Linked DNA regions of Lepisosteus oculatus. The protein of the gene in region 1 interacts with the protein of each later gene in a biochemical or structural test. Links are inferred from orthologs where the notes say so. Each region holds a gene or a part of one and is shown in the gene's direction. Other genes may lie near its edges. The genes, in order: cdk9, ccnt2a, ctdp1 and supt5h.

Region 1 (6,905 bases):
AGTTTAATTAACCGTTAGGACTTGAACTCCCTGAGATGTATTTTTCCCACTTGGGAGCTTTGTGATTTTCTCTGCTCCATGTCTAATGTTTGTTCAGTTGGCCCTGTACTATACTCATGACTTCTGCTACAATAATGGATAAAAAGTGCAGTGTTGTTCATCTCAGCAAATCACAAAATGCTTTACACGTGGAGGCATGAGAAAGCACTTCCCCAAATGAATACAGGGGAACTTCAGGAAGGCCAGACTGTACAAGACTTTAGTGCAATTTAGCCAGGGCACCAGGGTTAACACCCAAACTCTTTCGAAAAGTACCATATGACCACTTATTTAGGACTAGTTTTAACATCTCATGTGAAGTATGGAACCTACTAGTGTACAGTGTCTCCAGTCAGCTCAGTGTGAAACTGGTTTAGAAACTGTGGTCCTGAGGAGAGAGTGCCTCCTAGTGGTTCACCCGAGTAACGATCTGTGAAAGCGCTCCTGGGCTGTGAAGGCAGCAATACCGAACATATATTGAATTGATCTTACCCGCAAAAGATGTAAAGGGGTCTCAAGAGAACTTAAGATTGGTTGCAAGAACACCAGCATACGCCACACACACGGACAGTGCACCGGCAGCTCTAGAAATAGTCTAGACTTGCATCCACTGCAGAATATGACTACAGTAAAGATGCTGCCACAAAGTGTGGGAATCTCTGGGCACTCTGTGGAGCTGCGAGCATTTTCATGACCCGAACGCCAGTTTCGATGACAGAAGGCCAGCCTAGTGAAAGATATTATAAGCCAAAGTCTATAGTGCTCCTAATGGAAGCTCCACTCTGGGGTTAGCACTAGCGTGTGGAATCATTTTCAAGGACAGACTTTTTCCTTGCACTCCGATGCTTTGCCCGCAGCATTACAGAGGCCACACGACGCGATTCTCCTCTTCTCGCCTCTCACCGGGCAGAACCACTCTCTCATCCGGACAAACAGAAAAGCGAAACGCCGCACAGGACTCTACGAGAGAGCGCACGGTCCTGCCCAGTCTTTCACCATTCGCACAGGTGGAGAAGAGAGCCGCCTCGCACGATTCACAGGTTGGAACGTGCGGAGGAGACGCCCGCAAGTGAACGGCACACAGGTGGAAGATGTGCATGAACCTTCCCTATTAACAGTGGTTAATGTTCCCCTCGGGCACTGGGTGTTGGAAATTGCTCAGTCTTGGTGTCATGTGGGTGAGCTGAAGACGGGGTCCCACAGTTGCAGACGCCAGTTAGCACCTTCAAGCCTTTTGTTTTTCCCTTGTGCGCTGATCACAGTCTGCAAAGGACCTTGAAGTCTTTTGGGTGTTACAACATTCTCTGACACATATAGCAAATAAATGAGATTAGCCCACATCGAGAGCCTTAGATGTGGGACAGACAATAGACACAGTGGGCAGGCCCTTTGGGCACTTGTCCTAACAGGATAGCTGGATCAGTGAGGATTTACTGTTCAGAGGGGAGGAAGATCAGACACCTAATCATCTTAGTGACAAATGACAGAGAGGAAAAATAAACAGAATATATTGTTAAAAGGGCAAAACTCTCTTCTTAGTTTAAATTCCAGAGTAGACTGTGATTGTAATCTGATTAGATATCCTGCTGGCTCTTGGGCAGGAATGCAGATACCTTCTCAGTCAAGGATTTCTTTCTTAAAGGAAATTGAGAAAGGTAGCACGAAAACAACAAGCTAAATCTGCTTAACAGTTTGACTGGTGAATCTCATTAGTGTAAACTGTGGGGGGATGAACACATTTCTCTATAAGGATAACATCCCACCAAATCCACATGTGCAGAGGTTATTGAGCACTTATCACCCGCCGTGCCGAAGCCCGGCTACTCAATACGAAAGTGCAGCAAAAGAGTGTGAATTGGGATTTTCACAAACTGGAAAACAAAGTGAGCAGTACTGTAATTCTAAATGGAGACCAACGCTGAAATCATTCTGCTACAGGATCTACCGCTATACAACAGATTACAAATTGGTATTGTCATAATGCTCTTATTTCTTCAACCTTCTGATTTAATGCCATTTATTTAACTGTCAATTATTTCCTGGAGCAATATAAAGCAGTGCGAAAGCTCATGATCTCCAGTGTCACAAAGTATAGGTGGACTTGTGCTCAGTTGTAGAAATTCAGAGGCTAAAAACTGGAGGAAAACAGGTTCCCCGGACAAGGCTCGTTAAAATGCAAATACAACTGCGACTGTACCAGGGGGTGAAGGGAGGGTTCACACCTCCAAAGGCCCAATCAAACTCTTGACGCTTCTCATGGTCTCTTCACGCAACACGGAATTTACCCTGTGAATGATTTGGAGTTATCGTATTTTAAACAAATCTGTTACTAGGTATTTTAAAAATAAGTTCAATGCATGATATTCCAACACACAATACAAAATAGCCTGTTGACTATGAGACAGGATGTAATCATACCCATACTATTTTAAATTACTTGAATTCACCTTTAATTAATTTTATTTAATTAACTCCCTGAGGCTAATTTGCCCTTTCAGGACCTTTGTGTTTCTCTCTGCTCCAATTCTATGGCTGTCCAGTTGAGTCTGTACTATAATATTCACCATGACATGGACTATAATAATGAATATGTCCTTGAGTTTTATAGCACCGTTCATCTCAAAAGATCACAAAACGCTTTACATGTACGGTAAAAATGGGGGAACCGACGTATATGTAGAATATTTTCTTTAGAAAAAGTAGAAAATAACTTTAAAAATCATACATGCATAGGGTCTGTTTTTCCACTCTGATCGTCTTGTCAGTTCCTGCAGGAGGAAGTCAGAAGCTGAGCACGGCTGGTCTTGCTCAGTACTGGGATGAGATTTCATGGCGTAAAAGTTCAGCAGTGTCAAACTTCCACCAGTAGACGGCGACCTTCCCTCTGAACCACTAATTCCGAACCAGTGCCTCGATTAGTGATCGTGTGCTCATGGAGTTCTGGAAAAAACAACAGTTCGTCTAATGTTCAACGTCGTTCTCATGTTGGAAAACGTTTAAATACAGAGTTCGTAAAAGTTCTATGTGCTTCAAAGACAAATTCTTTAAAATCTATTTAAAAACACCCTTGGATAACTGGTTTACAGAAATTTCCTAGCATATAAATTTATGTAATGTGACCCCCTAACTTAATCTTCAAATCGATGTGGTTTGTTCTGCTTCGTTCATTTGACGTTGTCTTTGTGCTGTCGTGTTGCAGCACGTGTGAGTATATGTACATGCTTGCATTTCCATTTTTTTTTTGTATACAAAACGTAAAATGTAAATAAAAAATAGTGCTCATGTATATAATGCTTCATGTAACAGCGCCGTCCTTCGGTCAAGAACTTAAACTGAGGTCCGGACCCCTTGGTCATGAAAGATCCCATTGGGTTTCCTAGCGGGAACAGATTTCAAGGGATATACTGAATGGAACAGGACACTGTAACTTATTTATTTTGCACTAAAAGCCACTACATGCCACGGCACTGTTCATCACAGTAGAGAAGCTCACCACGGTGTCCGGGCTAAGCTCTGTTTTGGTTTTGCACAACCTGGCCTCCTTTAATTTTCCCTGCTGCGTGTCGTACCTGAATAAGGAGGGTATTAAAAAATTGTTAACGTTTACTTTTTACTTTAATAAGATATGGACGATAAATTGACTGCGCCGGTCTGGCTGTAAATGAGTAATTACTCATAAAGGATCTGCGTAACCGGTTCCTCGGTTGATGGACAGCTCCAGCGCCCACTCACAGTTCAGCTTTCCGGTTTTCAGCACTTCCAATCCGTGTAGTCATACGGCACCGATTCACCAATCAGAAGGCGATAGACCCGCCCGCGGGTTGAGCCCGGGGCCCCGTGCTATGGCAACCAACCGGAAGTGTGCGGGGAAACGGCTGCCGTAAACGCGTTCTGCGGAGGACTGCGGCGCACAGTCTCTACAGGGCAGCGGAAAGGCGTACTGCAGCTCTCGGGATGCAGCGTGACAGAGCAGGGACTTCGGGTGGTGGTGACAAGTAAGGACGTTGTTGTTTTTTTTTTTGGCGAAGATCAAACGCTTTCTTAAGATTTTCCGTCGGAGGTGAAATTCGGTTGATTCCCGGGTAGGATCACGCAGATCTGAGGCCTGAAGGAGGGTTACCTCTCGCTAGCGTGTGGGTGATGGCTGAGCTCCGTGTCTCCCTTGTCTCTCTCTCTCAGGGCCGAGCGGGAGACAGCGATGATGTCGAAGTATTATGATGGTGTCGAGTTCCCTTTCTGCGATGAGTTTTCCAAGTATGAGAAGCTCGCCAAGATCGGGCAGGGAACCTTTGGGTAAGTTTATTTTGCTCGCACGTCGTTCAACGTTTCCGTTTCCGCCAAAGTATTGTTTCGACCCACATGTGCGGCATATTGTCAAAACATCTTTTTTTCACCTCGGAAATCTCGCTCGACTACGCCCTGTGCCGTCACTAACTGTGGCTGAAAAGCTGATCAACACGTTTGTGTTCGCTCGAATTGACTACTGTAATGCTCTACTCGCTGGGGTGTCTAAATATACTTTGAACAAACTGCAGTGTGTCCAAAATTCAAAATATCAGAGAGTCACCTTCTCTAAACTCCGTCAAATCCAGACTCAAAACCTTCTTCTTCAGAAAAGCCTTTACTTAACTGTTCCATTCTTCACCCCTCTGCTTTTCTTAGTTCCAGCATCCACGGTCTCCTCTACATATTGTAATTGTGTTTTATCATGTGTATTCTTCTTATTTATTGTTGTTGTCATTCTGTAAAGCGCTTTGAGAAGCCACCTTTAAAGGTGCTATATAAAATAAAGTTGTTATTATTATTATTATTTTGATGTGCTCGGGTGTGTAGCAGTCCAGTTGCCATCTAACGCACGATCAACAATAACGATGGGATATTTTTCTTGGATTTGTCCAAGCTTATTTTGAAAGCCCCATATGTGTAAAAACTCACAGTTAAATACATTCTGATTCCATATTGTAATGCAGTAAAATGTAAGAAAGTCCAGGGGAGGTGAGTACGTTTGATAGCAACTGCAGCTGAATAGAAAAATTCCACTCCACACACACGATATGGGGAACATGTTCTGATTTGGTAAAATAATAAACAAATAGTATGGCTGTGGAGCCTTCTTTGGATGTAAGAAAGATAGTAATGTCTCCTATATGAAGTCATTTTATTTTATATTGTATTTTTATTGAAACATTACTGTAGTCAGTGTGTAATCCGAAATCTTAAAATCGGTTGGATTTCCTGGTGTTGGAGACTTGAAGTGCATTTTGTTGGTTTTTGATGCAGGTTTTGTGTTGTGTCCCCAGGGAGGTCTTTAAAGCTAAGCACAGGCAGACTGGCAAGAAGGTAGCCTTGAAGAAGGTTCTAATGGAAAATGAGAAAGAAGGGGTAAGAATCGTTTTTTCCTTTTTCGCCGTCACTGAGTAGATTGTGCTGACGAGACAAAAAAGCTCAAAGAGAGAGGCAGATGGAAAAACCAGCGTGTACTCTTCATTCCTGTCTTTTAATTCGATGCTGTCATTCCACTGTTTTGGTCATCCTTGCTTCTGTATTACGATACTGTAAAAATACGCAACTTTATAAACTGAACATAGTGAACAAATCTCCCTGGCTCCCATTTTTAAGCAGCATTTTCTATTCATTTAATCTTGAAAAGTGGAAATGCAGGTAGCACTCACTGTCACGTTCTTCTTCAGTTTCCCATTACAGCCCTGAGAGAGATTAAGATCCTCCAGCTGTTAAAACACGAGAATGTAGTGAATTTGATTGAGATCTGCAGAACAAAAGGTAAGTCCTCAGAAACTCATCAAGTTGTTTTTTTTCTGTGTACTTTTTTATAGGGCACGAGCAAATACGTAAATTGGTTTATTAAATCTTTATTAAAGAGTAGAAAACAAAAGTGAACACTTTTCAGTTGTTAAAAGGATGTAAAGCTGTTAAGAACACCCGAAACGTTGTTTTCTTTTGACATTTTGCATGAAAATAACCCTTACGTGTTACCTCATACGTAGCATAACCTAAAATAGTTTGATTATTGATATATAGATGTCGTAGTAAACAAACAGAATTGGCTATGTAAATTGTATTCTTATAGAAATACTGAATATCTAAGAATATAAGTATTTTTTAATTAATGTGCTTATTCAATAAAAAGAAAATTAAAGTGTTTTTTTTTTTAATTCCAGCCACCCAGTACAATCGATACAAAGGCAGCATCTACCTGGTGTTTGACTTCTGTGAACATGACTTGGCTGGGTTACTCAGTAATGCCAACGTCAAGTTTACTTTGGCCGAAATCAAAAAAGTCATGCAGATGTTGCTAAATGGTTTATATTACATTCACCGAAATAAGGTAAGAACTGTTTTTTGTTTTGTTTTTAAATCATTTCCTTTCTAAACCTTTATTAAATAGTTATGGACTTCTGTGAAATGTTTTGTTTTTACATTAACACTTACAAAACATTGAATCGTTTCCCTCTTGGTTATGCAACAGACACTTTGCGTTCAGAATTCAAAACCTTGCATGCTAAAGGGTTTATGTGTTTGTTTCTGTTGTTTTCAATGTTTTAGCTTTCTTAGTGCTGTGATTGCCTTTAGACAGTTGTGGTGGAATATGAAACTTTCTAAGAATCCCAGATCTTGTTTGTAAACCGTTTCACCCTGTATTATCAGGGAATTTGTAGCGACACAAGATTACTTAAGGACAATAAAACTTGAAGCTGGTATGCTGTTCTTGCTAGCTCTCCAACCTCAATTCCACTTGATAGGAGAGTGAAACACATGCTGAGAGATGACTAGGACTGATAGTGATACACTGATTCAGTTGTAAGACAGAATGCCCAGAGTATGTGCTACTGTGCTACTGTGAGTAT
Region 2 (7,403 bases), on another chromosome or scaffold:
GGTCAATCTCTCTCAAAGCACAATGAGTAATACATTCTGAATACAAACCAGATCACATTTACACACTAATACACCAGTTCGGTATTCTAGCTGAGGAATTCGGCACGTGGATCGCCTGAGCTCTTCTCGTTTCTCGTGATGTGTCATCAGGCCAAGCCTCACGACGCCCTGGATCTCTGCCACATTCTGAACGACGACCTGGCGGCCACAGTGCGCCAGCGCCCGCGGCGGTTCGTGGGCCTGGGGACTTTGCCCATGCAGGCCCCGGACCTGGCCGTGCAGGAGCTGCGGCGCTGTGTGCTGGAGCTGGGGTTCCCCGGCGTGCAGCTGGGCTCCCACGTCAACTGCTGGGACCTGAGCGCGCCCGAGCTTGGCCCAGTCTATGCAGTAAGGGCCGCACCGCCGCCCGAGACTGAACATCTGAACAGCGTCTCCAACCTTCACAATTGAAATGCCCTGAAACTGAAAAGCAATGCCTTGTACAATGATAATCAAGTCCTTCTACACAGCGCCTTCCAGCCCAAAGCATCACAAAACACTTTGCCTGTTGCGCAGGCCCCACCTGTGAGACGCACAGCAGCCCAGCCACAAAGCCAGTCAGGGGAGGAGAGAAACCGCTGCACCAAGAGAACTAGGGGAGCTAGAGAGAGGCTAGTGCATGCCCAGAGTGGAAACCAGCCAGGACACCAACGTTAACAGCCCTACACTTACTTTTATTACACTTTCATTATGGTATATTTTACATACTGTAGGTCTGAGCACATCTTCGTGGGCAAAACAAACGTGCATGTCAGTAGCCTTCTGTCTGGGAAGCGTGGCAGGATACTGGTTCGAACAGCTGCTTGGCAGTTAGCTCCTGGGACCTGGGCTCGGTTCTGAACTGGAGTGCCTGTCTGTGTGGAGTTTGCATGTGTTTGACTGGCTACCCTGAGAGTTAATGAAAAGGGATGGTCTTCCTATCCCATTGCCCAGACATGAATGGAGAGGTCTGGCTGCAGCCCTCCTGCTGGTCCCTGACCTCGGGATCTGTGGTTTCATTGTTCTTTGTGCAGGCTGCTGAAGAGCTGAACTGCTCCTTATTCATTCATCCCTGGGACATGCAAACTGATGGAAGGATGTCTAAATACTGGCTCCCCTGGCTGGTGGGTTAGTATGATGTGTTTAATGTATGTTCAGCTTGCTGGTGTGAAACAGCACTGATATTGCACCATCAGCGTCTTTTAGCACTTAGACTATAGAGTGTTTAAACACCTTCCACTATTCTGTGTTGGAAGTATATCTCTGCAGTGGTTATCTGCACCAGAAGCCAGTTCGGCTGATACTGCTAGAAGATGACAGAATGGTTGTGAACCAGAGGAGGCCAAGCTGGCCCTTCTAGCTCATCTGGTTTATTGTAGCGAATTGATTTAAGGATCTCATCCAGCTGTTTCCTGAAAGAGGAGGGGCTATCGGCTTCAACATAATGGCTGAGCAGCATACTCCCACAACCCTTTGGGTAAAGAAGAGCTTCCTGTTCTCAGTTTTAAATTGACTTTCTCATAGTTTCCACTTGTGTCCTCTGGTTTGTGTCTCACGTGTTCAATCTGGAGAAGTCTACACAGCTGACTTTGAGGACTGTATGTACTGGTCTCCTCACACACTTCTCTGTTCAAGACTAAAAATACCCAGTGTCTTTGGCCGTTTAGAGGAAGACATGCCTTTAAACTTAGTATTGTTTTGGTTACTTACCTCTGGATTGATTCCAGATGTTTTTTACCTTCAGGAATGCCAGCAGAGACCACAACAGCTATCTGCTCCATGATCTTTGGGGGCGTATTTGAGAAATTTCCCAAGCTTAAAGTCTGTTTTGCTCATGGAGGTAATGTTACCCTTACGCAAATATACTTTGAGAACAAATATACTGTGAGAAAGAAGCAGAGCCATTGTAACAGAATGGTGCACACACAAAGCAGTCTGTGTAATCTAAAGTATGTAATAATACTATCTGTTATTTAGCAGATACTATATGTTTAAAAAGCATACAAATACAACATGTCTGTAGAAAATGCTGTCTGACATAATTTCATACTGAAGAGATTAAATATAAACAGGATATTTCAAAATTTAGGAGGATCCTTCCCCTACACAATTGGACGAATTGAGCACGGATTTAAAGTTCGTCCAGATCTGTGTGCCGTAGATAACAACATCAATCCCAGGAAATATCTTGGCTCGTTTTATACGGATTCCCTTGTCCATGACCCTCAGGCACTGAAGCTTCTTCTTGAAGTGGTTGGAAAGGTAGGAGGGTTTTACTTTCCAGACACAGAGCACAGCACTGTGAAAAGTATAAACTGTAATATATATATATAGCAGTACATCAATGCAACCTAAAAGATAACCAAGTTTAAGTATTGCACACACTACAAGTGATCTGTTTTTCTGGCCTGTTTGTTAGCAATGATAAATGTCAGCACTGTAGCTAGGAAACGGTTTTATAAAAATTCTTCTTCTTTGTTGAAGGATAAGGTCATGCTTGGTACAGACTACCCATTTCCCCTGGGAGAACTTGAGCCAGGATCTCTGATAGAATCAATGAGTGAATTTGACTGCGTGTTAAAGGTGAATTCAGTTTAAAATGTAACTGATTTTGTTCCTCAGCTTCTTGGAATATTATCTTTAATGTCATGACTTTCCCCAGAGTAAACCACAGCCCGCCATGATCTATCTTCTTGCCTGAAAAAAAGGGTTTTCTTTCCTGTAAAAGCTACACAAATCCTTAAACCATGCAAAAATTCCAGCTCAAGCCCACCACAGCCATGACTCTTATGCTGTATAGACTGTAACCCTAGCTCAATCCTAAAACAAACTCTTACCATCCAGAGCCAATCTTAAACTTAACTTTCATCACATCCTAATCTGAAAACCTGCCTTAATATGATCTACACACCTTACCTGTGTTCTAAACTCACCCAAAGCTTTATAAATCTCATCTGGTTCCCCACTGAATCCCACAAACAACTACACAAAGTAAATCAAAAATGGACTCCCTGACAAAAGCACACAGGAACAAGTAAAGGATTATTCCATGCAGAAAAGAAAAGTTCCTTTGCAAGTTCCTTGTTCCTTTGCAGCCTACCTGTATGCATGCTGACACAGCTCCCTACTTGAACTACTTCAAAAGCACACAGGTCCAAAAGGCACAGGGCAGACATAAAGATACGTTTCCAATGACTGTTTGATTATCTCTTGCATCTATTCCTTATAAAACAATGCTTAATGATCTGTAATGTTTAGTCTTTTCATGTTTTCTTTATAAAGTCATCATTTGTTTTAAAAAATAATTATCTTACTTTAATAAATGAAGCTTACATATCTCCAATATTCATTCTTTTCATGTTTTCTTTACTGAGACAATTTGTTTTAAAATATCATTGACTGTTAATTAATTCTTAGTCTTTCAATAATAAACTAGGCTTGTTTTATGTCTTTTATACAATGTATCATTTGTTTTAAAAATAATTAATGCTAGATGTCTGCATATTTTAATTGATAGATGCTGCTCAAGGATGTGTAATTGTTTTAGAATGTGTTTTTGTCAGGTTACTTCAATAATGTTTCTACAACTGAAGTAGCTTATCCCCTCTCGTATTAGTCTAGCTGTGTGGGGTCTTCAGGACAAAAGGCGTTAAATATACAGAACACAGCGAAGGGGTCTCCAGCAGGGGTGTCCAGTCCTGTTCCTGGGAGGCTGGTGAATCGGCTGGTTTTTGGTCCAGGCCAGCTCTTAGCGAGACAAGCTGGTTCTGGGCTTAACAGGAACCATTTCACAGCGTCTCCCAGCTCTGCAGGTGGTGTTGCTTTAAAGAGACCTAGCAAGCCTGCAGACACACCAGCCCCAAAGGACCAGCACCGGACCCCTACTCTATTTTTGTTTAACAATTTGCTTACTTTGCGTCTGTGTGCTTTCTGTATTTCAGGATAAACTTTTAGCAGAGAACGCTCTGGAGTTTTTGGGCCTTCATAGAAGCCAGTTTGAGTGATCCCAAAGACACCTGATTATTACATGATGAGATTACAACCTAAATTTCTAATCACCAGAGTGATTCATACTGAAGATCTATAGAACTGTATGGAAATTAATTTAATTAACTGTATTTCTCTATCTGATAGCTGTTAAACGGCACATAATAAAAAATAACATTTTGGTTCTACTAGAAGACATCTCTTCTCTTCCAACTGATGTACTTGTACCACACGAATAAGCAATTAATGTGAAAAAAAAACACTGTAGGTTTTTCATACAAAAATAAATCTTCCACAATGCACTGCCCGCTTTTCTTCAACGGTTTTTTTTTTATCCGTTCTTGTGTGTTTTGTGTAGTTCTCCTTTCATCCACTTGAGGGAGGTGACGAATAATGTACTGTACTTTAAAAACGACAACACTTTCCTTGTTGCAGCCTCATGTGCGTGCGCTGGTGTTGTATGTACTTGAATCGTCGATATCTGAGAACAGAAGAGATTTGTTTTGTCATTTACAATTTGTTAGTCCGAAATTTTAAGCATAGACTCTTCTACAAAAGCAGTATTAATCGTATCTGTATTGGAACTGTTACAGCACTCCAAAGGTAAGAAGTTATTGCTCCAGTTTTGACTTACAAACGGGTGTGAAGTTAAAAATATTTCCAATTAAACGTTGCCATTATGTATTAGGTACTGAAGCGATTGCGTTTCTCTAGTTACACTAGTTCTCTAGAGAAAAAAAAACAATACAAATGTGCAGACTTATACAAGTGGAAGTGCAGTTCTTCCTTATATTAGGCTACTATTTTTATTTTACGTTAAATATCTCTTCGCATTCGGTATTAAATAAACCGATTTGTTGAAAGGAGACTCCGTGCTTCTTTTTAGACAATCTAGCGAAAAACACAGCAGTCGTTTGAGGTCCTTGACTACATTTCCCATGAGCCCACGGGCGCGGGGGAGCGTTTCCGGCGCGGGTGACGCAGTAAGTTCCGCGCTGGGCGGCGTGCCGCTCCTCTGTTCCTGTGTGATGCTGGAGCGATGGCGGCGTGCCGGGGCTCCACTTCGAGATGGTTTTTCACCCGGGAGCAGCTGGAAGCCACGCCGTCCCGCCGCTGTGGAGTCGAGCCGGACAAGGAGCTGTCCTACCGACAACAAGCGGCTAACCTTATTCAAGATATGGGCCAGAGACTCAACGTGTATCCTTTTCTTGTGCACGTCTGAGCTGCATCAGACCCGCCGACGAGGGGCCTGTAGGCTTCGGCAGAGATGGCGCTCTTGTAGGCCCCTCTTTTCCTCTGTGGTGGGTGGTGGGTGGTGGGTGGCTGGGTGGGGGCTGCGGCCCGGCTTTTAAAGGGCTAAAACTTCGCCGTTACGCGTCTGGGGGATGGCGATGTGCGTGTTCGCGGGTTTGCTGATCACCCTGCGGCTCAGGGGTTGCGGGGTTTCCGAGCCGCTGTGCTGAAACCGGTCCGGTCTCGGCTCCGCTGCTGCCCGGCCTGGGGCTGGCTGATAACCCCGCGCCGGGGCCCACGCACGTCAGCCTCGGTTGTCCGCCGTGGACGAGTCCGGAGTCGCGTTTCTGCGCGGCGGGGGGCTGATCGCCCTGCGGGCCGGGCGGTGTGCAGGGGACAGCGGCGCGGCGCCGGGCTGAAGGAGCTTGATCTCTGTCGCGCTCGTTCAGCCCCGAGCTGCCGCTGCAGGCCGGCCCTTGTTTGCATTGCAGCCTTGTTTCGGGGGCACCGGGAGGGAAATGAAACGAGTTAACGTTAGCAGCGTCGAGTGGGAACCTTATTAGTAATCCCTGACGCGCGATAACCTTCCCAATTCGTGTTTGATGGCGTTTTGTTTTTGGGGAGGGGGGCAGGGCCGTGCTGATGAGGTTTACCGTTGTCCCAGGCCGTGTTCCCCCACGCCAATAATGGAGTATCAGTGGCTGCGACGGTGCGATTTGCTCTTACCTCTTTTCTGTCGTGTTATTTTGGGGGAAGGGGGCTCTTTTGGTTGATGTTTTTTTTATGGCTTTGTTAGTGACTCGAAGGGATCAAGAGCAAGTGACGAGGGTCAATCGATAACCAAAGCAAAATCGCGTCCTCCTGAAAAAGGAGACGGAGGATACCGTGTTTAGTGTCTTTAACGATGAAGAGCCTTACCTCGACTGACCGTTCTCCTTAACCGCAGTGTCCAGCTCCCAGCTGACGATAAACACTGCAATCGTTTACATGCATAGGTTTTATATGTACCATTCTTTCACGAAGTTCCACAGAAATGTAAGTATTTTCGAGTTTCTCTACTGTCTTCTGCAATTAATTAAATCTGTGAATTGTTCGACGTAGAAGTACGATATCCTGTGGCAGAAACATGCCAGATGTAGTTCAGCGGTTGGTGTGGCTTTCCCCGTTTGACCTTAAGGGTCTTTGATACGGGAGTCTTCAGCAAAGGCATGACCTGCCCTTGTTTTTATTCTGGTACCTTGAGTGGACAGTAAGACTAACGGGCCTGATGAATAATGGTAAAGACAAGTAGTTCCGCATAGTCTGCAAAGGAACAAGTAAAGGGTTTATTCCATGCTGAAGAGAGAAACCACAACGTTTCGGCTGTGAAGCCTTCTTCAGGTGTGAAGAAGGCTGAAGAAGACTTCACAGTCGAAACGTTGTGGTTTCTCTCTTCTCTCTTCAGCAGAGGTTTATTCCATTATTTGTTCCATAGTAGAGTAGCCTTCATTCAGGATGGGGGAAAATGCCACTTAACATAACTGGTATCCAGCCCCCCCTCACTGGAGCCGAGGAGGAGAGGCAGATGGTCTCCACAATAGAAAGGTCTTCTTCTCCAGCCCAGCTGGCTCTTATCAGCCATGTTCTTTTGTACGAGACCGGTAGAGATTCTTCTGTCCCGGGTGGGGGGGAATTAGGCTGATTTAGTTAAAAGTTGTGATGACAGTAACGATTCAAAGGACCCTCCCCCTCTCCCCGGAGTGTGTTAATTGGCTGGCCTCTCGTCAGTGTGGCTGCTGTTGTGTGTTGCAGATCACTTCTCCAACGACGTTATTCTTGGCTGCCAAAGTTGAGGAGCAGCCGCGTAAACTTGAACATGTCATCAAAGTAGCACATGCCTGCTTAAATCCTCAAGAGGCACAGCTCGATATAAAGAGTGATGTAAGTATGACCACGCCTCTGCCTTTTTCATGCACCCCTGCGGCACTGTTAACAGACTGATCGCAGAATGTTTCGATGTTGTTAGGTGCTGTCCTTGGGGTTTCTCCCTGGTTTAAGGCTACTTCAGTGAAAACTGCTTTTAGGAAGTCTCATTTGGTTTACATTGTTTTCCTGGGCATTGTCTGATTCTATTGATTTTCCTTTTGAACTGCTAAAAACTGTTGCAGCATAAAGTGTCTCTCAAA
Region 3 (7,024 bases), on another chromosome or scaffold:
AAACGGCCCAGCCCTTCAAACAAGATTCTCATCCTGCGTCTCTCCCGCGGCCCTGACAGGGCGTACTGCACTCCCAAGACCAGCGGCACGCCTGCCGCAGCGCCCACTAGCACCTTCTTCAGAAAACCCCTTCTCCTCATCGGCCTGGGGAGACACATCAGCCGTTACCATCTACCGCTCCAGTTCTGAAGTTTCTGTCCAGGTGCCGTTTCCGAGGACGCCTGTTGCTAGGACAGTACACACAATCCACTCTCCTCCAGAAACATCTTGCCAGCAGACGGTATACATCACCTTGCAGACCAGGAGCTCAGATGGGCCAGTGGGGCAGAGCCTGGGTTGTGGTGCAACAGTGCCCAGTGGCGCTGACACAGCCGCAACTGCAGGACACAAAAACATAGAGCCACTTAATCCAGAGCCAGACGTCTTTCTGTGTGCTGGAACACCAGACCAAACTGTTTTTTTTAAAAAAAAAACCAAAACAATTCACAAAGCACAACAATACACATTACACCAGAGCGAGCAATATCTTAACACTGCCAACAATATAGGGGTGTTTTTTTAGAGAAATTCTTGCTCTCAGAGATCCTTTTCAATTCAACCTGATGAAAATATCCTGGACCAATTCCCTATGATCAAAAGCCCTTGAGGACAGTTAAGGTTTCCGAGTTTTAAACTTTGCAAATCCCATTATGCAGAGCACCACACCCATAAATGGGCACAGTAATCAGATGATGAAGGGCTTTCTTTTTCATGCAAACAGGGTGAAATGTTTTTAGAAGCGGCACGGTAGAGAGCAACTGCTAAATCAAGGCTGCTGGTGTCCATTCAGAGGCACAGTTGTTTTTATTAGCAGTTTAAGAGAACATCTTGTTACAAACCAGATGATTTAAAGATAGCGCTTCAGTGTCAGGGACCTGACCCGAGACAGTGGGATCTGTCTCATTCTGAAAGAGCCGATATGAAGGGGAGAAACTGGGAGAAAGCTGAAAGTGTAAGCGAAAGGAAGGACAGCCCTTTTTTCTCCTTGTCTCTTCACTGACATTCACCCTTGTAAGAGTTTCGACACAAGGCAGCTTGTAACTTGCCCTAAGCCATGTATTGAAGCTGGAGGGGACAGATAAGGTTCTATTAGCTTCAAGTCAGCAAGCAAAAAAGACCGACGATCGTTTATTCCACACCTTATGTTATTAAAAAAGATTCCCGGGGATTGTTCCTTTCTAAAGGCTGGTAATAATAACTAACGCGACCAGTGCTGTTTCCGCATTAACAGTTAAATGGGTGAACAGCAGAGCAATAAGACATGCGGTAACACTACAATGATGGTAAAAACAGTAACCAATTTGACGTATTAACGTGGTTGGAATATTGTATTCTACATATACATTAATTTATGGTACATCAGAAATATTAAAGGGGAAGACAGTTAATTCTTAATTACCCTTTCGTCTGCTACAGACTGATGCATTTGGCATGATCAATACAGCGTGCAACTGTGAACTGGGAGCTTTGCGAATAATTGTTCTTGCTGTCATTACACCAGCACTATCAAAGACTAACCTCACTTGAAGACTGCGTCTTCCAACTGACACCCATTATCCCTTTTTAATATTCATAAAACTGCACCGAAAAAAAATACTACCCGTTCTGTCTCGGTACCAGCGAAATCTCACACGCATAAAAGCACGACACTAGAATTTAGAATATTTTGCAAAGTGAACTTGTCACGAGAAAGCCGTCATTTGGCACTACTACGGACTGCATTTCTTTTCTTGCCCGTTGAAAAAGTTGTCAACCACTTTCAAAAATGCAACTCGCTAAACCCTTGAAGTGATCTTTACTGTGTTCATTCGCTTACCGCTCTGAAAGTATCTCCGGCCATGTCGCTAAGGAGAACAATGTGTAAAACCAGTCTATGCCCGGACAGTATATGGAAACGCAGGCTGTGATTGCCAGTCGCCCTTTGCCTATAGTTAACGAGCAAGGACTCTGACGCCTCCCCTCGCTATTGCCAGGCTCGCCTTACACACGCACTGGGGTCATGTGACACGTGGGGTGACTGACTAGCGTGAAGCTAGCGTCGTTAAGCGACGCTAGCTTGGCAGCACCTTTCAAAATAAAAGCGTGACTCCGGAGCTGGCAGCTGATTTACGCGTCACGTCACGTGGACGGGATAAGACTTCCTGCTCTCCTTCCCGGTTGGGGTTTTTAAATTTGTGAAGGTGCCACAAAATAAACGAGGGAGGAGGTCCATACACCTTTTAGAATACCGCTGCCTGTATTTATAGTGTAATCTTTATCAGCTATAGATTTGTGATTACCGTTCCTCCCTGGCCTTATTTATTAAGGGTAGCGTTTTTGTAATAGGTAGAAACTTGGTGCAGAAAAGGACAGCGCACTGAGGTGGTTTTAATCTACAGTTTATTTCGAATCAGAATATGACAAACTGCTGCTCTCAGGTGGGATGGATTGGTTTTGGGTTCTAAAAATGAGGCCATACTGGGCCAAAAAGAGACTTTATAACTGTCAGTGAAGTACTTTAAAATGAACCCATTTTATTTGGAAAAAAACATATAATTAATTTTTTAAAAATCAGTTTACTAAGAAGTAAATGTGCCAGCAAGAGCCCTTACAGATGTCATGTTTCATGACGTCAAAGCTCGCGTTAAAATGTGTAAAGCTTGGGCTAAGGGTTAGAGAACATGCAAACTGTTTCTGCTTGTTTACATTACATGTTAGGGTGGTGCTGTGGCTCTGTGGCTAAGGATCTGCACCTCTGGCTGGAAGGTTACCGGTTTGTATCCCATGGCTGGCAGAGAAATCCTACGCCTTTGGGCCACTGAGCAAGTCCCTTAATCACAACTGCTCCAGGGGCACTGTATAAATGGCTGACCCTGCACTCTGACCACAAGCTTCTCTCCCTGTCTATGTGTCCCATGGAGAGCAAGTTGGAGTATGTGAAAAGACAAATTCCTAATACAATAAATTGTATATGGCCAATAGAGTGATCTTATCTGCCAAATGTTTTCCCAGACTTTTCTATATAAATCTTTCTGCATTTCCTTTATGGTTTCTATAGTAACTGCTTATCCTCCTATTTTATTAGCATCATATGTATACTTGACTCATTTATTCTCTATAACAGGCCAGAATACAGGTCATTCTGTAACAGTAGGAGGAGCCTCAAACACCCCATCATAGGCGTCTTAAGTCATTGTCTCCTAGCAACAGATGTGTCGACTCACAGACATTCACAAATTTCAGAATGATTACTGTCAATAAGACATTGAGAACCTTTATTCTTTCTTTATAATGCAATACTTTTGAAGACCAAAATATTTCATTTCAACAAACAGGTAAACTAACTGAATGTAATGAATATGTTTAAGCTTCACGGCCGTCATCAACATTTGTTCTAACAAATAAGGATGCTTACATAGATAAGTGTAACAGCTCATCGTTTTTTCATTATTACCAGTAGGTTAAAATATGAATTAATTTAAGACCAGGAACAATATACATTACATAAAGCAAGACACTAACAAAGAATACTGTATTATGCTCTTTTTTAAGAGGCAAACTGTCACCAAGGGGCTTAGCATCAAATTCAACTGTCAAATTGGGCAGTATGTCAACATTTCACGATGATTAATACGACTAATACCGTTTTAAAAGACAGGGTAACTTTGTATAGCAAAAAGTGGTAAAATAATTTTAACTCCAGTAACCGCGAAGTTGTTTTTTCTCTCAGAAACTATGGATGATATCTGAATTACTGAATTACTGTCCAATTCCAGGACCAAGATTTAAACAGGTGCCAGGCCGTGAGCATACACCTTGTCCTCCCGCAGCAAGCCCGGTCCTACCGCCGCCTACCTCAGCACCTGGAGCACCAGGGGATTCAGTATCACGCTGTTACATCACCTTGCATCATAATTACAGTTTTGTTGCCAAAGCTTACTCCAAGTCCTGAAAAGTAAACGAAATTACACAGCAATTGTGGATTATGTTTGGCACACTATTATACCTATTTAATGCCCCCAAAACCTAGCACTATTCTTAATATTTCGACGCACGTCCACTAGCAGGATAAAAAAAAATATCTGTACAGCTGTAAAAAAAAGACCTACTCTGTACCAAATCGCTATCCCATTTAAAAACGTCATACTGAACTGGGCGAAAATATAAGGTGCTTAATGATAGTGCCTTCCCGGCTTCGCGGAGCCGGAGCTGCTGTGAGGCGCTTCCCCCTGCCTCCTCCTCCACGGCGGCGGCGTCGTCTCCCGGAAGCGGTGCGGCAACCTGCTGCCTCTCGGAGGCTTGTGTTTCCTGTTGACGAGCGGGAAGAGCGAACCTGAACGCTTTGGTTTCATCTGCTGCTGCTCTCTGGTTTCCACTTTTCGCTTTCCGATTGCTGTCTCTTTAAAAGTGCAGAGAGCCGCCTGCAGTTCCGATTCGATCTGCAGCGGTTCAGGGCGCATCGCCTTCTCGGCTAAAGTTTGGAGGGATCTGGGGGTGCGACACGGATGGAGGACCCGGCAGACTCCGGCGGTGGTACCGCAGCTCTTGCGGGCCCCTCTAAGCAGGTGACGGAGATCCGCTGCCCGGCGGGGGCCCGTCCCCTGCGGCTGCTGGAGTGGAAGGTAAAGCCGGGATCGTATGTGAATATCGACTCCGTCCTGGCGCTGTGCGCCCCGCTCCCGGTGGAGAGGGAGGCCGGAGCAGAGCCCCAGGGGCCGCCGACTCGGTCGACGGAGAAGAAGGTGAAATCGGACCGGGCCGGCGTGGTCAGAGAGCTCTGCTGTCAGCTCGGACAGGTCGTTTCTCCGGGGTAAGTGGTCAGTTGTGGGCTGGGGGGACATGAGGGGGATTGCGGGTAGAAAGCGGCGCTCAGTAGTCATGCTTTGCAGAAAATGAGTGTTCGTGCTCGTGTTGATGTATCGAGGCGCTGCAGGGGTTTAACTAACTGTCCGAAACGGGCAGAACTTTGTAGGAACACACTTGCAAATTGATGTAGTCCGGAGAAAAGTTGCTTAAAGAGAAAGCGGGGTGATCATCAGATCACGCAACTGCGCGGCTTGTTCTCCTGTACGAGTGTGGATGAAGTGTACGGGGAGTGTTGAGTTAACTGAAAACTTATAACTTCGTGGTCCAAGATTGAAAATAAGAAAAGCTCAAGTTGTCTGGAGCCGCGTCTTGCGTTTCGAAGACAAACCCCTTAACATCTTAGTGCGTGAGACGTAGTTAAAGTTAGTGCAGACGGTCTTACAATTGTCTTTTTTATCTAGATGGCGCGTTTTAAATGCCCAGGGAAAGCGCACAGCGCAGTGTTTTCGCCAGGCCTACTGCACAAGACGTGTGTAGCTGCTTGTTGTACGAAAAGGGGGTGTGTTTGTACGCGTGCTCTTAAGGGGTAATGGCACCGTTTATGTTTTTTCCAGCCCAGATTGCCACTCGTGCCGAGTTTTGGAGTGCAACAACGCTTGGGTCTTCCCGAATTGCCACCGACGAGCATTTTGTTTTGCAGAGGACGAGTCGCAATAGCAGCGTCTGTGGAAACTGCTCACGGGGTGGGGGGCAGGGCCGCGTGCTGGAGCTGTCAGCGTCACGTGACTTAGTATTCTGTCAACATTGCCGCGTCGAGCTAAAGCACAGCCGGGCGGTTTATCATTCACTTAGTTCTTCTGTCAAACTCTGCTGTTACTGTCCTAATCTTAGGTGCTGTTCAGATTGAGATTGTAATGGTTCATTGACGTGCTGTTTTCCAGTGAGTGGTCCCAAACCCTGGTCCTGGGTGCTCCCTGTCTCTCCTGCTTTCATCCCAATTGAGCTGATCTGCTTGTTCTTTTAGACTTGTGTTTACATATTTATGTATTACGTTCTTAGTTACTTAATACACCTGTTGGATACTCAGCATACAGAACAAAGCCCTTAAGAGTTCGTGCCTTTTTTTCTGTCTGAATAGTTCTTCATATGTGATCGATGTTTGATGCACAGACAGTTGGGAGTGACACTGAATGTTTTTTTTTTCTTGTCTGCTGAGGTCCACTTGCTTACATTCCAGTAGCTGTATTGCCCTGCAACTCACTGGAGCTCAGCAGGTCTGAGCCTGGCCGGTACCTGGATGGGAGACCTCCTGGGAAAGCTAAGGTTACTGCTGGAAGACGTGTCAGTGGGGTCAGTAGGGGACACTCACCCTGCAGTCTGTGGGGCTCTTATTGCCCCAGTATAGTAAAAAAAAAAAGGTGCTGTACTTCAGATGAGACATAAAGCCAAGGTCCTGACTGTGGTCATTACAATCCCAGGGTATTTCTTAAAAAGAGTAGGGTTGTTTAACTGGGGTGTCCTGGCCAAATTTCCCATTGGCCTTTACCAGTCATGACCTCCTAATAATCCCCATCTTTGACTCTGTTCTCCTCCCCACTAATAGCTGGTGTGTGGTGAGCATACTGCCTTACTCTGGCTGCCATTGCATCTGAGTCCCCATTACCTGTAAAGAACTTTGAGTGGAGTCCAGAAAAGCTCTATATAAGTAAGCAGTTATTATTCCAGTCCACACAGCTGAATGGGGGTGATATCTGAACCTTAGAAATTGGTAGAGGTTTTAGTACAGTTGGTACAGTGTTTTGAGACATGAAAGTTTACCTCAACTAGAAGATTGATCAGTCTGTGATTAAGAAGTCAGATGGAATAAACTAAACACTGGATTATTCACTAGAGATGGTCAGTAAGCAAATGTAGCAGGGAACGTATAGGTTAGGGAGGGGTGTTATGAAGTTAAATTCAAAGTCTGTAAATGATAATGCTAATATCATGAGAACGGTTATAAATAAGAGGTCATCCTGTCCGTTTGGTAATTAGTATCGGCTTCAACAACATGATGGGGCAGCTGATTCCACACTCCCTCCACTCTTTGTGTAAAGAAGTGCCTCCAGTTCTCGGGTTTAAATGTATTTACACATAGTTTCCACTTCTGTCCTCTGGGTCGTGCTGCTCTGTTGATTCAGAAGCCATCCACTGCATTGAC
Region 4 (7,470 bases), on another chromosome or scaffold:
CCTGCGCAGCAGCAACCCATGCTGAGTGATGCCGAGATGGGGGCGTTTGTTTGAGCAGTCTGCCTGGGCGGAGTTGTCATGCCCTCCCTGGGCTCATGAGGGCTTTGGCCAGGAGCTCCAGTTTTATCCCAGGGACGCGGCACTAGTGTCCCATCTGGGGAGATAGTGGTCATGTGCTCAGGCTCATCCCGCTGGGAGAGGCTCTGGCTACCTGCAGAGTTCGCTGGGACAAGCATCACATTCCCCGATTCTCCATGTACAGCCCCTGGCTTGACAACACAATGATCTGGATGTGTTTATTTCCTCCAGGGCCAGAACCTGACGGAAGGGGCTCCTTCAGCCCAGAATTTGAACTTGGTGCTTGGAATTCACAGATCATACTGGCAGCCCCTTCGTGTGACATTGTTGAAATCCTGTATCTGTGGAAAAGCAAGACAAGACCCAAACTTACCCCAGAGGAAAGTTTTTCTGAGCGATGACTCACTGGGCACAGGGCTGCGCTAATGCTAAACATGACAGGGAAATACCTCATAGCAACGAGCCAGCAGATTAATCCCATGTCGGGAAATCAATGTTTTTAAATGCAATAAAATGTTTTAAACATAAAAGCAGTGAGCAAAATGAAGGTTTTTCTTCTTTTTGAATGATTGAACAAATGCCCCCCCCCAAAAAAACAAAAAAGGCAGTTAATCTGTGAGACGATTTAAAGTTGCTTTTGTGTTGAAAGAATCGTGAAGAAAGCCTTTATTTTCAGGAAGTATTCCAGTTTGCTCCCTTCTCTACATATTTCTTTAATTATACAACTATTTTGATTTCTGTGAAGTTGGCACAAAGCCATTTAAATCAAATCGGGAACGCTACAGGATGTCTGAATGCTCAAACCCAAAGCGCAAACAATGTACTTTGTTTTTAAATGTAATGAAATGCTTAATACATAAAAACAGGGAGCAAAATAAAGTTTTTTTTTTGAAGAGCTGTAGCCTAACTTCATCTGACACTGTGCCCCAGCCAGCACATACACAATATCACACATTTTGTGCCACAAAAGGAGCCTTCTGTCTTTACTGGCTCACCACCAGGGTGGGCCTCATTCACAGTGGACAGTGACTCAGCAGGACAGCTGATGTTTTATAGAGCCCTGGAACTGCGCGATTTAACAAATGCCCCATTTAAAGTTGCTTTTGTGTTGAAAGAATCGTGAAGAAAGCCTTTATTTTCAAGAAATATCCCAGTCTGCTCCCTTCTCTAAATATTTCTTTAATTATACAACTATTTTGATTTCTGTGAAGTTGCACAAAGTCATTCAATTCAAATCAGGGACACTACAGGATGCCTGAATGCTCAAACACAAAGGAGATACACTTTTCAAAAACTGCTCAGGCCAGTATAAGCCGACTGTGTCCATAACCTGGATGCCAATGGGCACAGAGCAGGATAGACCTGCCTTGGGACACTAATACATGGCAGGACACACACAGGACATGCAGGGGCCAGATCTCCTTACTGGCCAAAATATTAGGAATGAGAGCATCCTGAGTGACTAAACCAGTAAAGTTTCTAACCTGGGTACTGGTTAAGCTTGATGATCACGGGTTCGAACCTCGGTCACATCACTAGCTAATGACCGGCAGCCATATCACTCTGCAACTCACAGCTGGCAACCCCCTGAAGCCAAGTAGGTCTGAGCCTGGTCAGTACCTGGATGGGAGACCTCCTGGGAAAAACTGAGGTTGCTGCTGGAAGAGGTGTTAGTGGGGCCAGCAGGGGCGCTCATCTTGCGGTCCATGTGGGTCCTAATGCCCCAGTATAGTGATGGGGACACTATAATGTAAACAGGCGCTGTCCTTCAGATGAGACGTAAAACCGAGGTCCTGACTCTCTGTGGTCATTAAAAATCCCAGGGCGTTTCTCGAAAAGAGTAGGGTTGTTACCCCCGGCGTCCTGGCCAAATTTACCATTGGCCCTTACCAATCATGGCCTCCTAATAATCCCCATCTCTGAACTGGCTTCATCACTCTGCTCTCCTCCCCACTGAGAGCTGGTGTGTGGGGAGCGTTCTGGCGCACTATGGCTGCCGTCGCATCATCCAGGTGGGGCTGCACACTGGTGGTGGTGGAGGGGATCCCCATTACCTGTAAAGCACATTGAGTGGTGTCCAAAAGGCACTATATAATTGTTAGCAGTTGTTATTATTAGTTAGTCATGCTGACTCTGTTCCCAGCAACGGGGACCCCTGTGGCCTCCTGCATGCTTGCAGGCTGATGTAGCTGCTGTTCAGGGGAGCGCCTCTCCTCCAGTCAGCGTTTGACTTGCACTCTGGAGCGAGTGATCGTGCTGTGGAGGCCCCAGAGTGTTGTAAACCCTTCAGGTAGTACCCCTGGCAGTAGTTTCAGGGCTTGTATTCTCTCCAGCTGCAGTGAGTGAAGCTGAAGGTTTTCTGTAGCCCTGGTTCCTGGAGTGGGGTCTCTTCCCCCCACAGCTCTGGTCCTCTGTTACAGCACTGAGTCGCCTCAAAGGTGTAAAAAGACGAGCAGGTGGGTGTGGTTGGGGTCTGCAGTTCCTCACTGTCCTGTCAGTGCAGTCCTGCGGCCCAGTCCCCTCCCATTCTGTCAGCAAGAGTGGGACTGGAGTGTGTCCCTAGAGTGGGACTGGAGCGTGTATTCTGCACACTGCTGGATCTCCAGTTTCTCTGTGGGGCTGAGATCAGGGTTATTCCAGGAAGGTGATGAAAGCCTGATGCAGCACGAAAATAACCTGCCTGCCAGATAAGGAAAGGTTCACTCAAGGGTCCCAGCAAAACTTCTGCTTTTCTTTTCTTGGCTGAGCACTGAGGAAAGAAATCTGCTCCAGGCTCTTCATGCTTGGCTGGCAGGAGGAGCGACACAGAAAAAAACTTTGAAAAACAAAGAAAACAAGCACCGGGATCTGGAACAATTGGAGGTGTGTGTGAGTGCTGGTGCTGAGCCAGTGCTCGGGATGTGATTTTCAGTCCCAAGTGAAGGAAGTACAGAAAGGGGCTGAGACAGAGGGAAACTCTGTTGCAGCAAGTGGAGATGATAAGATCACTTTATTGGCCATTGACAATTTCTTGCATTAGGAATCTGTCTTTTCACATACCCCAGCCTGCTCTCCATGAGGTGGCACACAGACAGGGAGAGAAGCTGGGGGTCAGAGCGCAGGGTCAGCCATTTATACGGCACCCCTGGAGCAGCTGGGGTTAAGGACCTTGCTCAGGGGGTCCAAAGGAGTAGGATTCCTCTTTAACCTTAATCCTTAACCCTAATTCCAGGGGTGCAGGATTTGAACCAGCAATCTTCCAGCCACAGGCGCAGGTCCTTAGCCACAGTGCCACCACTCCGCCCCAAATGGCGATGGTGATGATGATGATCCTGATGAAGACTGTGCTGGTCCAGGGCTGCTGGCTTACTCTGCAGATTGGGAGGCATCTGAGCAGTAAGAGCATAATGTAATGATCCTAAGTTTCCCCCTTTATCCCACACTTGGTATTATTACACACACTTTAATTGTTGATGTGAGGGGAAAAAAAAGTGGTGATGAAAGAGCCCTAGATGTCAAGAGTGGGTTCCTCCTGATTTATTTTCTGCTTGACGTTGACATTAACAGGCTGCCCTTTTTTGCTTGTGGGGTTGAAGTAAACCAGGAAAAACAGAGGCTGAATGAAAAGCCGTGACGAAGCACAATACACCTTTCACACTAAATGGACAGAAAGGCCTTGCTGGGAGAGACCGACTGCTGCGGCCGGTAATCAACAGACCAGTGGCAACAAGCCACGCCTGCGAGCAAACCGCTGTGTCATCGCCAGACTTTGGTCGAGCCTGCGGAGTCCCGAAAGAATGGAAAGTTCAGTACAAGCTAAAAACCGAACATGAACTGGAATGAACTGGAGTTCAGTGCACTGCACGTGACAAGCATACTCTCCAGAATATCTGTGCAATGCCACACGGTTTCTCTTATCAGTGCAGCCTCCCGAGCCTCTGAAGGTGTTTTCTGCTAGCACAAGCAGAGAGACCTCCACTGCTGCACTCACGCCCATAGAAGGAAAGACAGACAGACCCACACATCCATAGGAACCAATACTCTGTCTTTTCCTGCACACTTGATTATATAGCTACCTTTAATTAGAGGGTCCCCAGAATTACAACTGCATAACATTTACTCATTTGAGTTTCTATTGTTTTTATACAATGCAGCCAGTTACTCTTATCCACAATCAAATGAAAAATCCCAAGTGAAAGCACATTAAATAAAGATGAATATGCAAAGGCGAAAAAGAGAACGGGGAAGTACTTTAAATGTCGCAATCTACATACCAAGGCAAAAAAAAATCAAATATACTTGATGTACATACAGCTTCCGCTACCAAGATGGCGCTCAGAGCCAGTTGACCTTTCTAATATGGCGTCTTGGTGAGGACAGGAGCATGTCTTTCAGTGTGTTCTCGCGATAGTTCCTTTCAGTCTGTGCTGGAGTGGTGATGTGTGTTTATTAACTCAACGATTTTTTACATATTTCTCAGTTTGCGGTAATTTTTAAGGTAAGTGCTCTTTCGCTGCAATTTAGGCGTCAGATGCCTGTATTAATACCATGATTCGTGCGACTAAGTACGTATGTATTTCTTAGAAAGAGGGTTAGGCTTAGGCTTAATTTCAGGGCCTAGCTGTGAGTTTTCTATAAGATTCGTGCCTGTTATCAATCTCAAGGTGTTTAACCTCATAAAATATTCTTACGTGTTGCATTAATGAAATGAAAAAACGATTAAACTTGGTGTGTCAAGATAGATTTTCGCGTACTTAATATAATTGTTTACGTATTTGTGCATGGCCGGTACTACTGTATTTTATATTAATATAGCTTCCGTTAATAAATTCCGTATATCGCTCATGTCGCATACCGTTTTTCTGTTTTAGATGTCTGGTAGCGCGTAGCTTAATTAAAAAAAGTGGAGCACGAATAAAAACAAGAATGAATTGGAATGATGGAGAGAGTTAGAAGTCGTAGCTAAGTCGGTTTGTTTTTGCCTTGAGAGCTTCTCTCTTCATGCGGAGTCACAAGTATCCGCTGCCTAAACAAGCTGAGCTCCTGATTCTGCAGGGTTGTGTGGTCTTTGACGTGTATTTCGACTTATTTCGAATATTGACGTCATTGCTGAATTTGCTGGCGTTTCCAGCGGGGAAAGTTTAAAATCCAACACTCAAAGATCCCACAGTTCTGTCAATTTAGTACTTCAACGTCAACACAGTTGACACTGGTCCAGCGCAGCCCAGATTAAAAAAGACCACACAGCAGAAGCAACAAAACGCATATTACCCTTACACACAGTATTCAATCACTACAAGATCTGCATATTGAGGTGCCTACTGCCGCTTGAACTGGAGAAAAGGCAGTTGTTCCAAGGCTCTAGAGCTGGAGTTGTGCTAGTCAGGATGATGCCTGGGTGAGGACGCACAGCGAGCAGGTTCAGCCTTCAGCCTCGGTGTTTACAAACTGGTGGTCCTACAGCTCCTTCTCCCTGTTTCCCACTAGCCGGGGGTTGTGCTGAAAGGATGTCGGACAGCGAGGACAGCGACTTCTCGGACAACCAGAGCGAGCGCAGCAGCGAGGCGGAGGAGCTGGAGGAGAATGAGGTAACGGTGGGCGCCCTCCCCTGAACCCCTGATCGATGCACAGTCTCCGTTTAGGCCCGGTGTTCTTTTACCCTGCGCTCACTGGACAGCGAGACTGGACAGGGCGGTCAGAAGAAGCTGCTCTGTCCGGAGAGCTGTGCCACTGCAGGGGTCACTGAACTGAGGTCTTTTTCGCGGTCAAAGAAGACGGGGAGTCGTGTGTTCGACGATGTGTGGCGGTTGTGTCCTTTTCTTCCCTACCTGTGCCAAGTTTCTTTGGAGTGTGCGGATATTATTTTTTGAAGTTTAGCGATCACCCCAGTTGTCCCATTAAGTGGTGGTGAAGGGGCTGCAGAAGATTGGCTTCTAGCTGGAATCTGCACGGCCTGTCCCATGTCCTGCCTCTGCTCACAGATTGTTCTGCTGCCACTAAGACAGCTACCTGACCACCATTTCTTTCCCTTCATCCTCAGTATGTGGTCTGTGACACTAACTCCTGCCGTTTAATACTTTTCAAAAGTTCATCCATTTCAGTGCAAAAACAGCCAAGTGTGATTTATTATTGATAAAGAAACACTTTATATTATATAGCGCCTTGAACGGTGGCCTATCAAAACACTTAGTGACACTTAGCGCCTCGTGCACTGGGATTCCTATGCATACTGATGGCTTTAAAAGAAAAAGAGCTGTCTGTTTTTAAGCACAGTGTGTTATAACTGCTTAACACAGTGTTGTACCCTGAAAGTTTTCAGATTTCCCTGCTATCAACGACTGTGCTCTCTGACTAGCTTTTCCTTCCTGCTTCTCTGCTCTGTGCTTGGGCGCAGCTGGGGTACAGGGATGTCGGTTTGCTGGGAGGCCCCGTCTTGGCTGGCAATTAAACGTTAGCAGTTGGCTCAGACCTGCAGTTATCCTGGGTCCTTCAGCTCCAAACTTGTTTTCGTCTTGGCAACAAGAGCGCAGAGGTTAAATCAGGTTGTTAATTCAAGTTAGGGCATAACCTGGCGCTTCACTGTTAATACACCCAGAAAGGAAAGGTGTTTGTGTAGGTCTTGGGGAGGGAACAGTGACTCTGGTGCAGCTCGTCCTGCCGGGGTTTGAATCCTGTGCTGGTGGCAGGCCCAGTACAAGGTGCCGATCGCCCCGCCTTCGGGCCTCCAAGCACAGAGCAGAGTGGGGATTGTGCCCGCAGCTCCGAATCAAAGCGCAATTCCAGTCTTGGAAGCTGTCGAAAGGCAAGACGGAGGGTTTATTTGTGTGCTCTGGACCGCTGTGCCGGAAGGCAGGGGTTTGGGTCGGGCCCTCCCTGGAGAGCGGTTCTGGTCCGGTTCTGCAAAGCGGGAGGGGTGACTTGTTTGTTGCTGGGTGTGTGACGGCCCGCTATCGTCCTGCAATGGCAGGAGGAAGAGGCCCAGGCCAGCGACAAGGGAGAGGAGGAGATAGAGGAGGATGAGGAAGAGTACGATGAGGAGGAAGAGGAGGATGATGACGACCGGCCCAGGAAGAAGCCACGTCACGGGGGCTTCATCTTGGACGAGGCCGGTAAGATACCTGTGTTCCTCTCTCTCCCTCGGCACTGGGGGTGTCTCTGTGCCACTGGTTCATTGAGAAAACCATTTGAAAATATTTTTTTATGGTAATTCTGGAGCAGATAAAAGAAGGGATTCAATCCTCTGCCCAAATTCAATGTAATCACCTTCTTTTCTGTCTTGTTACCTTCTGCTCACCTGTGAAATTGTGTGGTGCCCCCCTCATTCTGGGGTACAGGACAGTGAGGTGTGCTAGTCCTGTAAGTGTCAATTCTGCTTCTGAACCAGCATTCAGTTGTTGGTTCTGCATAGCTGAA

The links.
Region 2: the proteins of cdk9 (region 1) and ccnt2a form a complex in vitro, tested with the Homo sapiens proteins (4 studies listed by BioGRID, with this or other methods). The link is inferred for Lepisosteus oculatus from reciprocal best matches to the Homo sapiens genes CDK9 and CCNT2.
Region 3: of the proteins of cdk9 (region 1) and ctdp1, one has a biochemical effect on the other in vitro, tested with the Homo sapiens proteins (3 studies listed by BioGRID). The link is inferred for Lepisosteus oculatus from reciprocal best matches to the Homo sapiens genes CDK9 and CTDP1.
Region 4: of the proteins of cdk9 (region 1) and supt5h, one has a biochemical effect on the other in vitro, tested with the Homo sapiens proteins (4 studies listed by BioGRID, with this or other methods). The link is inferred for Lepisosteus oculatus from reciprocal best matches to the Homo sapiens genes CDK9 and SUPT5H.

What each region holds. Positions count from the first base shown.
Region 1 is NC_090719.1:14,318,176-14,325,080, forward strand, and holds the start of cdk9 (cyclin-dependent kinase 9), read left to right. Parts: upstream 1-3,904; 5' UTR 3,905-3,993; coding exon 3,994-4,034; intron 4,035-4,218; coding exon 4,219-4,332; intron 4,333-5,339; coding exon 5,340-5,421; intron 5,422-5,729; coding exon 5,730-5,820; intron 5,821-6,218; coding exon 6,219-6,385; intron 6,386-6,905. UniProt on the Homo sapiens protein: Protein kinase involved in the regulation of transcription.
Region 2 is NC_090707.1:3,431,826-3,439,228, reverse strand, and holds the start of ccnt2a (cyclin-T2a), read left to right. Parts: upstream 1-4,393; 5' UTR 4,394-4,608; intron 4,609-4,891; 5' UTR 4,892-5,044; coding exon 5,045-5,202; intron 5,203-6,191; coding exon 6,192-6,273; intron 6,274-7,029; coding exon 7,030-7,158; intron 7,159-7,403. Other genes in the region: acmsd (2-amino-3-carboxymuconate-6-semialdehyde decarboxylase), read left to right, coding at 151-387, 1,053-1,146, 1,763-1,858, 2,108-2,280, 2,503-2,601, 3,960-4,022. UniProt on the Homo sapiens protein: Regulatory subunit of the cyclin-dependent kinase pair (CDK9/cyclin T) complex, also called positive transcription elongation factor B (P-TEFB), which is proposed to facilitate the transition from abortive to production elongation by phosphorylating the CTD (carboxy-terminal domain) of the large subunit of RNA polymerase II (RNAP II).
Region 3 is NC_090705.1:15,800,145-15,807,168, forward strand, and holds the start of ctdp1 (RNA polymerase II subunit A C-terminal domain phosphatase), read left to right. Parts: upstream 1-4,007; 5' UTR 4,008-4,523; coding exon 4,524-4,828; intron 4,829-7,024. Other genes in the region: adck5 (uncharacterized aarF domain-containing protein kinase 5), read right to left, coding at 1-144, 292-377, 1,856-1,879. UniProt on the Homo sapiens protein: Processively dephosphorylates 'Ser-2' and 'Ser-5' of the heptad repeats YSPTSPS in the C-terminal domain of the largest RNA polymerase II subunit. This promotes the activity of RNA polymerase II.
Region 4 is NC_090698.1:2,281,216-2,288,685, forward strand, and holds the start of supt5h (transcription elongation factor SPT5), read left to right. Parts: upstream 1-4,448; 5' UTR 4,449-4,555; intron 4,556-5,544; 5' UTR 5,545-5,564; coding exon 5,565-5,645; intron 5,646-7,024; coding exon 7,025-7,166; intron 7,167-7,470. UniProt on the Homo sapiens protein: Component of the DRB sensitivity-inducing factor complex (DSIF complex), which regulates mRNA processing and transcription elongation by RNA polymerase II.